2 linked regions of the Macaca fascicularis genome follow. Each later gene encodes a partner of the first gene's protein in a complex. Links are inferred from orthologs where the notes say so. Each region holds a gene or a part of one and is shown on either strand. Other genes may lie near its edges. The genes, in order: MDC1 and PELI1.

The links.
Region 2: the proteins of MDC1 (region 1) and PELI1 are in contact, whole or in part, in a crystal structure (PDB 9IF9), measured with the Homo sapiens proteins. The link is inferred for Macaca fascicularis from reciprocal best matches to the Homo sapiens genes MDC1 and PELI1. Residues at the interface, in NP_055456.2 of Homo sapiens: Glu761, Asp762, Ser763, Glu764, Thr765, Gln766, Pro767, Phe768, Asp769; in NP_065702.2 of Homo sapiens: Arg104, Ser105, Thr106, Glu107, Thr115, Asp116, Val130, Gln131, Ser132, Thr133, Ile134, Ser135, Arg136, Phe137, Thr185, Asn186, Thr221, Arg222, Ser223, Ala224, Cys247.

Annotation. Positions count from the first base shown.
Region 1 is NC_088378.1:141,951,289-141,954,602, forward strand, and holds part of MDC1 (mediator of DNA damage checkpoint protein 1), read left to right. Parts: coding exon 1-2,027; intron 2,028-2,110; coding exon 2,111-2,230; intron 2,231-2,345; exon of another isoform or gene 2,346-2,361; coding exon 2,362-2,544; intron 2,545-2,769; coding exon 2,770-2,895; intron 2,896-2,982; coding exon 2,983-3,093; intron 3,094-3,314. UniProt on the Homo sapiens protein: Histone reader protein required for checkpoint-mediated cell cycle arrest in response to DNA damage within both the S phase and G2/M phases of the cell cycle.
Region 2 is NC_088387.1:57,778,081-57,782,427, forward strand, and holds the start of PELI1 (E3 ubiquitin-protein ligase pellino homolog 1), read left to right. Parts: upstream 1-1,300; 5' UTR 1,301-1,394; intron 1,395-4,347. UniProt on the Homo sapiens protein: E3 ubiquitin ligase catalyzing the covalent attachment of ubiquitin moieties onto substrate proteins. Involved in the TLR and IL-1 signaling pathways via interaction with the complex containing IRAK kinases and TRAF6.

The sequences.
Region 1 (3,314 bases):
CCCCCAAGCCCACATCTCAGGCCACTAGGAGCAGGACAAATAGGTCCTCTGTCAAGACCCCTGAAGCAGTTGTGCCCACAGCCCTTGAGCTCCACCCTTCCAACTCCACAGATCAACCTGTCACCCCCAAGCCCACATCTGAGGCCATTAGGAGCAGGACAAATAGGTCCTCTGTCAAGACCCCTGAACCAGTTGTCCCCACAGTCCCTGAGCTCCAGCCTTCCACCTCCACAGACCAGCCTGTCGCCTCTGAGCCCACATCTCAGGCTACTAGGGGAAGAAAAAATAGATCCTCTGTCAAGACCCCTGAAGCAGTTGTGCCCACAGCCCTTGAGCTCCACCCTTCCAACTCCACAGATCAACCTGTCACCCCCAAGCCCACATCTCGGACCACTAGGAGCAGGACAAATATGTCCTCTGTCAAGACCCCTGAATCAACTGTCCCTATAGCCCCTGAGCTCCCACCTTCCACCTCCACAGAGCAGCCTGTCATCACTGAGCCCACATATCAGCCTACTAGGGGAAGAAAAAATAGGTCCTCTGTCAAGACCCCTGAAACAGTTGTGGCCACAGCCCCTAAGCTCCAGTCTTCCACCTCCACAGACCAGCCTATCACTCCTGAGCCCACATCTCAGGCCACCAGGGGTAGGACAAATAGGTCCTCTGTCAAGAGCCCTGAAACAGTTCTCCGCACAGCCCCTGAGCTCCAGCCTTCCACCTCCACACACCAGCCAGTCACTGCCAAGCACACATCTCAGGCCACCAGGGGCAGGACAAATAGGTCCTCCGTCAAGACCCCTGAACCAGTTGTCTCCACAGCACCTGAGCTCCAGCCTTCCACCTCCACACACCAGCCTATTACCCCCGAGCCTACATCTCAGGCTACTAGGGGAAGAACAGATAGAACCTCTGTCAAGACTCCTAAAATAGTTGTGCCCACAGTCCCTGAGCTCCAGGCTTCCACCTCCACAGACCAGCCTGTCACCTCTGAGCCCACATCTCGGACCACTAGGGGAAGAAAAAATAGGTCTTCTGTCAAGACCCCTGAAACAGTTGTGCCCACAGCGCCTGAGCCCCGTCCTACCACCTCCACAGACCAGCCTGTCACCCCCAAGCCCACATCTCGGGCCACTAGGGGCAGGACAAATAGGTCATCTGTCAAGACCCCTGAATTAATTGTCCCTATAGCCCCTGAGTTTCACCCTTCCACCTCCAGAAGCCAGCTTGTCACCCCTGAGCCCACATCTCGGGCCACTAGGGGCAGGAAAAATAGGTCCTCTGTCAAGACCCCTGAACCAGCTGTCCCCACAGCCCCTGAGCTCCATCCTACCACCTCCACAGACCAGCCTGTCACCCCCAAGCCCACATCTAGGGCCACTAGGGGAAGGACAAATAGGTCCTCTGTCAAGACTCCTGAACCAGTTGAACCAGCAGCCTCTGATCTTGAGCCTTTTACCCCCACAGACCAGCCTGTCACCCCTGAGGCCATACCTCAGGGTAGTCAGAGCAAAACACTGAGGTCTTCCACAGTAAGTGCTATGCTAATTCCTACTACCCCTGAATTCCAATCTCCTGTCACCACAGACCAGCCCATTTCCCCTGAGCCTATTCCTCAAGCCAGTTGCATCAAGAGGCAGAGAGCCACTGGGAATCTTGGCTCCCTCACAGCTCCCATTGACCATAAGCCTTGCTCTGCACCCCTGGAACCTAAATCCCGGCCCTCAAGGAACCAAAGATGGGGAGCAGTGAGAGCAGATGAATCCCTTACAGCCATTCCTGAGCCTGCCTCTCCCCAGCTTCTTGATATACCAACTCATGCCTCCCAGATCCAAAAAGTGGAACCAGCAGGTAGATCTAGGTTCACCCCAGAGCTCCAGCCTAAGGCCTCTCAAAGCCGCAAGAGGTCTTTAGCTATCATGGATTCACCACCACATCAAAAACAGCCCCAAAGAGGGGAAGTCTCCCAGAAGACAGTGATTATCAAGGAAGAGGAAGAAGATACTGCAGAGAAGCCAGGGAAGGAAGAGGTGAGGAGAGGGCTAGGACCACAAAGCTGGGAAAAATGGCTTTGGGGCTCTGAAACTCCCACCAAGATTTTTCTCAATCTCAGGATGTCATGACTCCAAAACCAGGCAAGAGAAAGAGAGACCAGGCAGAGGAGGAGCCCAACAGAATACCGAACCGCAGCCTCCGACGGACCAAACTTAACCAAGAGTCAACAGCCCCCAAAGTAAGAGACAAGGGCATGAGACTTTGTGGGAGACAGAGATGAGGGGAGGATGCAAGGAGACCTGGAGGATTGTAGAGATGGGTGCTGATGGTGTGGGTTGCTGTGACCACCTCAGGTCAACCCTTCCACAGGTGCTCTTCACAGGAGTGGTGGATGCTCAGGGAGAGCGGGCCGTGCTGGCACTGGGGGGAAGTCTGGCTGGTTCAGCGGCAGAGGCTTCCCACCTGGTCACTGATCGCATCCGCCGGACAGTCAAGTTCCTGTGTGCCCTGGGGCGGGGAATCCCCATTCTCTCCCTGGACTGGCTGCATCAGGTGAGAGGCCAAGGGATGATGACAGACCAATATAGTGGCAAGACTGCTCACGTAGTACCCTAGAAAGTTGTGGAAGGGAAGAGGCGTTACAGGAAGACAGGGGCATTAGTGAGCCAGAAGCCTGAATGATTTAAAAGACATTTTGTGAGCTCTCTCTAAATGCTAGGCAGCAGAGCTGGGTGAGGGGCTGGGCTGAGCTTTGATGCTGACTGCTGCTGTCCTTAGTCCCGCAAGGCTGGTTGCTTCTTACCCCCGGATGAATATGTGGTGACCGACCCTGAGCAAGAGAAGAACTTTGGCTTTAGCCTTCAAGACGCACTGAGTCGGGCTCGGGAGCGAAGGCTGCTGGAGGTGAGAGGCTATCTCTTGACCTGTGCTTCAGCCCTCCCTCCAGTGCTTCCCAACCTACAATACCGTCTCCACCATTTTTTCTCTTAGGGCTATGAGATCTATGTGACCCCTGGAGTCCAGCCACCACCACCTCAGATGGGAGAGATCATTAGCTGCTGTGGAGGCACATACCTACCCAGCATGCCTCGGTCCTATAAGGTATGCTTAGGATGTTCTGGGTCTGGATGAGGTGGCAGTAGCAGTTAAAGAGGTGGCTGGAATGGCAAAGGTTGGAGGGGAAAAAAATGGAGGTACAGAAAAGAATATAGAGTAGTGAGAGGGTGGGGAAAGGCCTATGGTATAGAAAGGGATAGGAATGAGGGGACAGATCTGCTGATACACCCATATAACAATCACCGAGATTCAGCAGCTTAATTTAG
Region 2 (4,347 bases), on another chromosome or scaffold:
GTGGATCCCCAACAACACCAGAATACAAGACCGCCCTTGTTCAGCCAACATCTGCACTGAACACGTTCGCTAAGTGTGTCGGTGACCATGGTAACGGTGGGAGGGGGCGGCCCAAACCTCGCCCTCGAGCATGCTCAGTGCAGAGCGAGCCTGGTCGAGTGCTGGACAACAATGAATCCCTTTTTTCTTCAGCCAGAGAACTACAATTCCCAAGAGCGTTCTCGGCGCGACGACACCGCCTTCCGCTGTGGCCCTGCCTCGTCCCCTCCCTCAGGCCCCGCCCTCCGGTTAGACCCCTCCCCTCCCTGGGAGTGTATGTCAGTGAACCAGAGGCGGTGTGAGGTGGAGGGACCGTCGGGGGGCGCCGCCGCCGCCTCCACCAGCAGCAGCAGTAGCAGCAGCAGCGCCAGCCCCGCGGCGCGGTCGAATTGGTCCCCAGCCCTCCGGGAGTGCACCACGAAGCAGCCCCAACGCCTCTCCCTGCTTCCGCGGCTCCTCAGCGCTCGACTTCGTGGTCAACTTCCCCGCGCTGGGCTCGGCTGGCTGGCGCGGAGGGCAGCGGCGGAACGGCGGGCTGTCTGCTCGTGCTCCCCGCGCACAACACTTCACCCTCTCGCCTCGGGTCTCAGGGGCCGCGCTGGGATCCCGGCCACCAGCAATTGTCCGGTAAGTGTGGCCGCGGGGCGCCGCTGGATGGATGGCGGCGAGGCCGCCGAGGGGCGCGGGGAGGGCGGGCGCGCAACTTCCTCGGCGGCTTCTCCGGCGGCCAGCCAGCCAGCTCTCCCCGCCCGCTGCGCGCCCCCGCGGCGGCGGGGAGCGGAGTTTGCGGCGCCTCCATCCCGCGCCCTGGCAGGAGGAAGCGCCTTTGTCAGGAACCGGCCCTGTGCGGCCTCCCCCTCCGCCCGGGAGCCGGGCGCGCGGCGGCCAACTCCGAGCCCCGCGCCTGGCTGGCCGCGCGCTCAGGCTGCGAGGGGGGTGCTCTGCGGGTGGCGGGTAGGAGAGGGAAATGGGAGAAACAAAAGGGGCGGTGGGTTTCCCTTTTGTTTGTGCGGATCTGATAACTTCTTTTCCTCCCTTACATAACGCAGACTTCCAAGTTAGTCATTCTTTTTATTGTTATGATTGTTGTCATCATCTCCGCGCGTCTTTCACATTTCCTTTCATCTTCGGATCTCAGAGCATTTTAAACACGCTAATTAATTTCACCCCTGGGTCCCCTAGGAAACAATACGCCCGTTTCCCTAAGTGGGTAAACTGAGGTCGTGAAAAGCTCTCTGATGGATACGCTTGATCTTTTACCGCGCCTGGTATCTGAGGATATGAAAGAGTTTATGAGGAAGAACCCGTTCTCAAATGCCCCGTGGAAAAGTTAAAGATGCTCATTTTACTTACAGGTTAGCTGAAGTCCGAAAGATGTCTAGGTAATTGTTACGTAGTTCAAACCATAATTCTTCTTACATAGTGTTTGAATCTTAAAACCTTTAAAGAGTTACTGAGAAATGCTTCGAGTAGGGAAATTAATGTAAATCATAAAGTCACGTCACCATCTACTTTTATTTTTGTACGTGTAGGTCTCTTAGAGGCAAGAGAGCAAGAATGGGACAGAGGGCATAGGTTTTTTAAAAATGTCCATTTAACAGATTTTAATCACTACACAGAAGGAAATGTGCCTTGGTTTTAACAGCACCAACAATATTCCTGTCGTTTAGTCATCAAACAGTATATCAACAAATATTATTGAGAACTTTATTCGTAAGATGCTGGTTGTGCTAAAAACTGAAGCTTTATACTTTATAGATAAGAAAAGGTCATCTGTTTCGGTTCACAGGCTCTACTTTTTCTTACTCTGCAAAATGTTACTTTGTTTTCTTTGCACATAATCTTTTGTTTCAGAAATCGCATTGTCCTTTACTGTGTTGAATATGTATTACTCTCACACTTAAGGAGAAATGAATTTTTTATTCAGTTTGCTTAATAGGGTGAATTTAAAATTTTTTAGTTGTGGAAAAGGTTCACTTTGTTCAGTTCTGTTTCAGTTTACGATGCATCTTCTTTATAGCCAACAGAAAATATTTTCTGAGTGATCAGATTTACATGTCTCAAAACATTGTTCTTACTGTACAAATACAGCATATGAATTCCTTTATTTATATCAACAACCTGTTCTGGATAAAAATCTTTAACTCTGAGGACCTTATTTATTTTGTGAGTTTTTATTTCTTTGGTACCAAACTGGAAAGTACCAAAAATTTAAATCAAGCATCACTTCTACTAGCTCTTTCCTCAGGTAAATAATGATCAGAACTGTAGTAACAGTGAATAGTTTCACTTACTCTAAATTCTCTTACATTTAATTTTGTATTGTGTGGTTGTCCTTACATTTTAGATTTTGGTGGTTGCATCAGAAAATGAAAGTGAGATGTTCGTTATTTTATTTTATTTTTCCAGAGCCTTCTAACCTGTTCCCTTTCTATAGTATGTTAAAAGAGATCTTGAGTTTAACATAAATAATTGGAAAGTAGAACAATTATATGTATGGAAAGTTGCATGTAGTGAAGTGGTTATAATGTCTCATCTAGTGAATTTACAGGTTTTAAAGAGGAAACTATCACCTAGCTTTTTATTGGCATGGTAGAAGTGCTGTAATGTAGTAGTAGTGGTATTTATTTACTTCTAAAAAGCAAGCTGGAAATTTGCCTCAGTGGAGTTTGTAGGGGGAGAGAATCCATCCTTTCCTTAAGATTGACATTTAAATGTTCTTGCAGTTGGTTATGTTGAACTTTTTCTGTGGTATTTTCAAGCCAGATTTACCGGGGACATTTGTACTTTAAGGAAGCTACTAACACTGTCTTGGCTCAGTCACTGGAGTCCGCAGGCAGAAGTTAGTGTTGACTGGCGAAGTCTGGCTTTGCAGGTTTTATAATTTCTTTGAGACCCCTTAAAGGAAATGACTGAAAAGTACGGGGTAGGAAGCTAGTCTAGTACTGCCAAATGCCATTGAGGCAAGTTTCAAAGAGGAAGCCAAAGGATGTTTCCGTTTGATTTAGCTTCAGACTCTTCTGGGTTGTCAGAATGTCACTTTTGTATTTTAAGAGTTCTATCATTTCAGAATATGATTCGTTATGGTTTTCTAGTAGGTCAGGTGATAACGACTATAGATAGTCATTATGCTTCGTGGACAACTAATATTTTTAGGCAGAAGCTTCTACAGCTGATAAAGATTTTAAGCCAAAGACTTAGAATTGAAAACTAACATATACGTGTACATTTTACCATAATACACCAATGTAGACCTATCCTAGTATTTATTAGATTAGAAAGGCTTTTATGGATGATTTTATTATACAAATATATTTAACTGTATATATTAAAATTTCATAATGACTAATATATGATGGCACTGAGGTGGCTTTAGGTGCTCCTTTTGGGGGAAAAAAGTCCTGTTATTCTAAAAGTTACATTTATGTCTTTGAGGAGAGTAAAGCAGATTTAAAAGCCAGTGGAAAAAGGAAGAAAATCAACAAAGTGAAGAAAACCTGATGAAGATGTTTTTAAATAATACAATATAAAGTTTCCTGGCAGCATTCATATATAAGGGACAAAATTCTAGTTGAAGTCTATAAACAGTGAATTCCACTTAGCACTTTCTGTTTATAGATTTCTAGCCATCTTTTCCAGATTCCCTCTGAATATATTACACAAGCAAAGTAAATAGAAGTCATTCTTTCAAGGGATTTGGGTTCTTGGAGTTTTTTTTACACTTGTGGTAGTGGGGGAGGGGAGTGCTTATTATATTTTCTTAGTTTAAGTGTGACCTGTGCCATAGAATATTCCCCTAGACTAATGTGTGGGAACCTCAAGACAAGAAATATTGGTCATTGAAATATCTGGATATGATTTCAAGTTCTGCCACTAGCTTTTTTTTTTTTTTTTTTCCAAATTGTCTTGAATAGATCACTTCTATTTTTCCTTCAAAGGTTGAAAATAACTGCCTAACATACTATGTTTAGTAGGTCCTAAATACTTTTTGTTGTTTAATGAATTTACAGGTAATAAAGAGAAAGCACAGTGTTTCTTGAATGGATGTCAGGGAATTTCTAATTTTTTTCTTTTTTGATAGAAAAAAGTAATCAAAACATAAACATCTGATTGGAGTCTTTCAATTAGCATAGTTACCTTCAGAAATAAGCCTAGAGAAAGAGAGCTTCATCTGGTAGTTTAACAGAAATGAATTGTAAATGACTCTATAAAGAATTGACAATTTTTTCAGAATGTTGTACCAGATGTTTTAGATTCTTTTTGCCACATAAACTCCACTTCAGAGAATTGAGGTTCTACATAGTACTC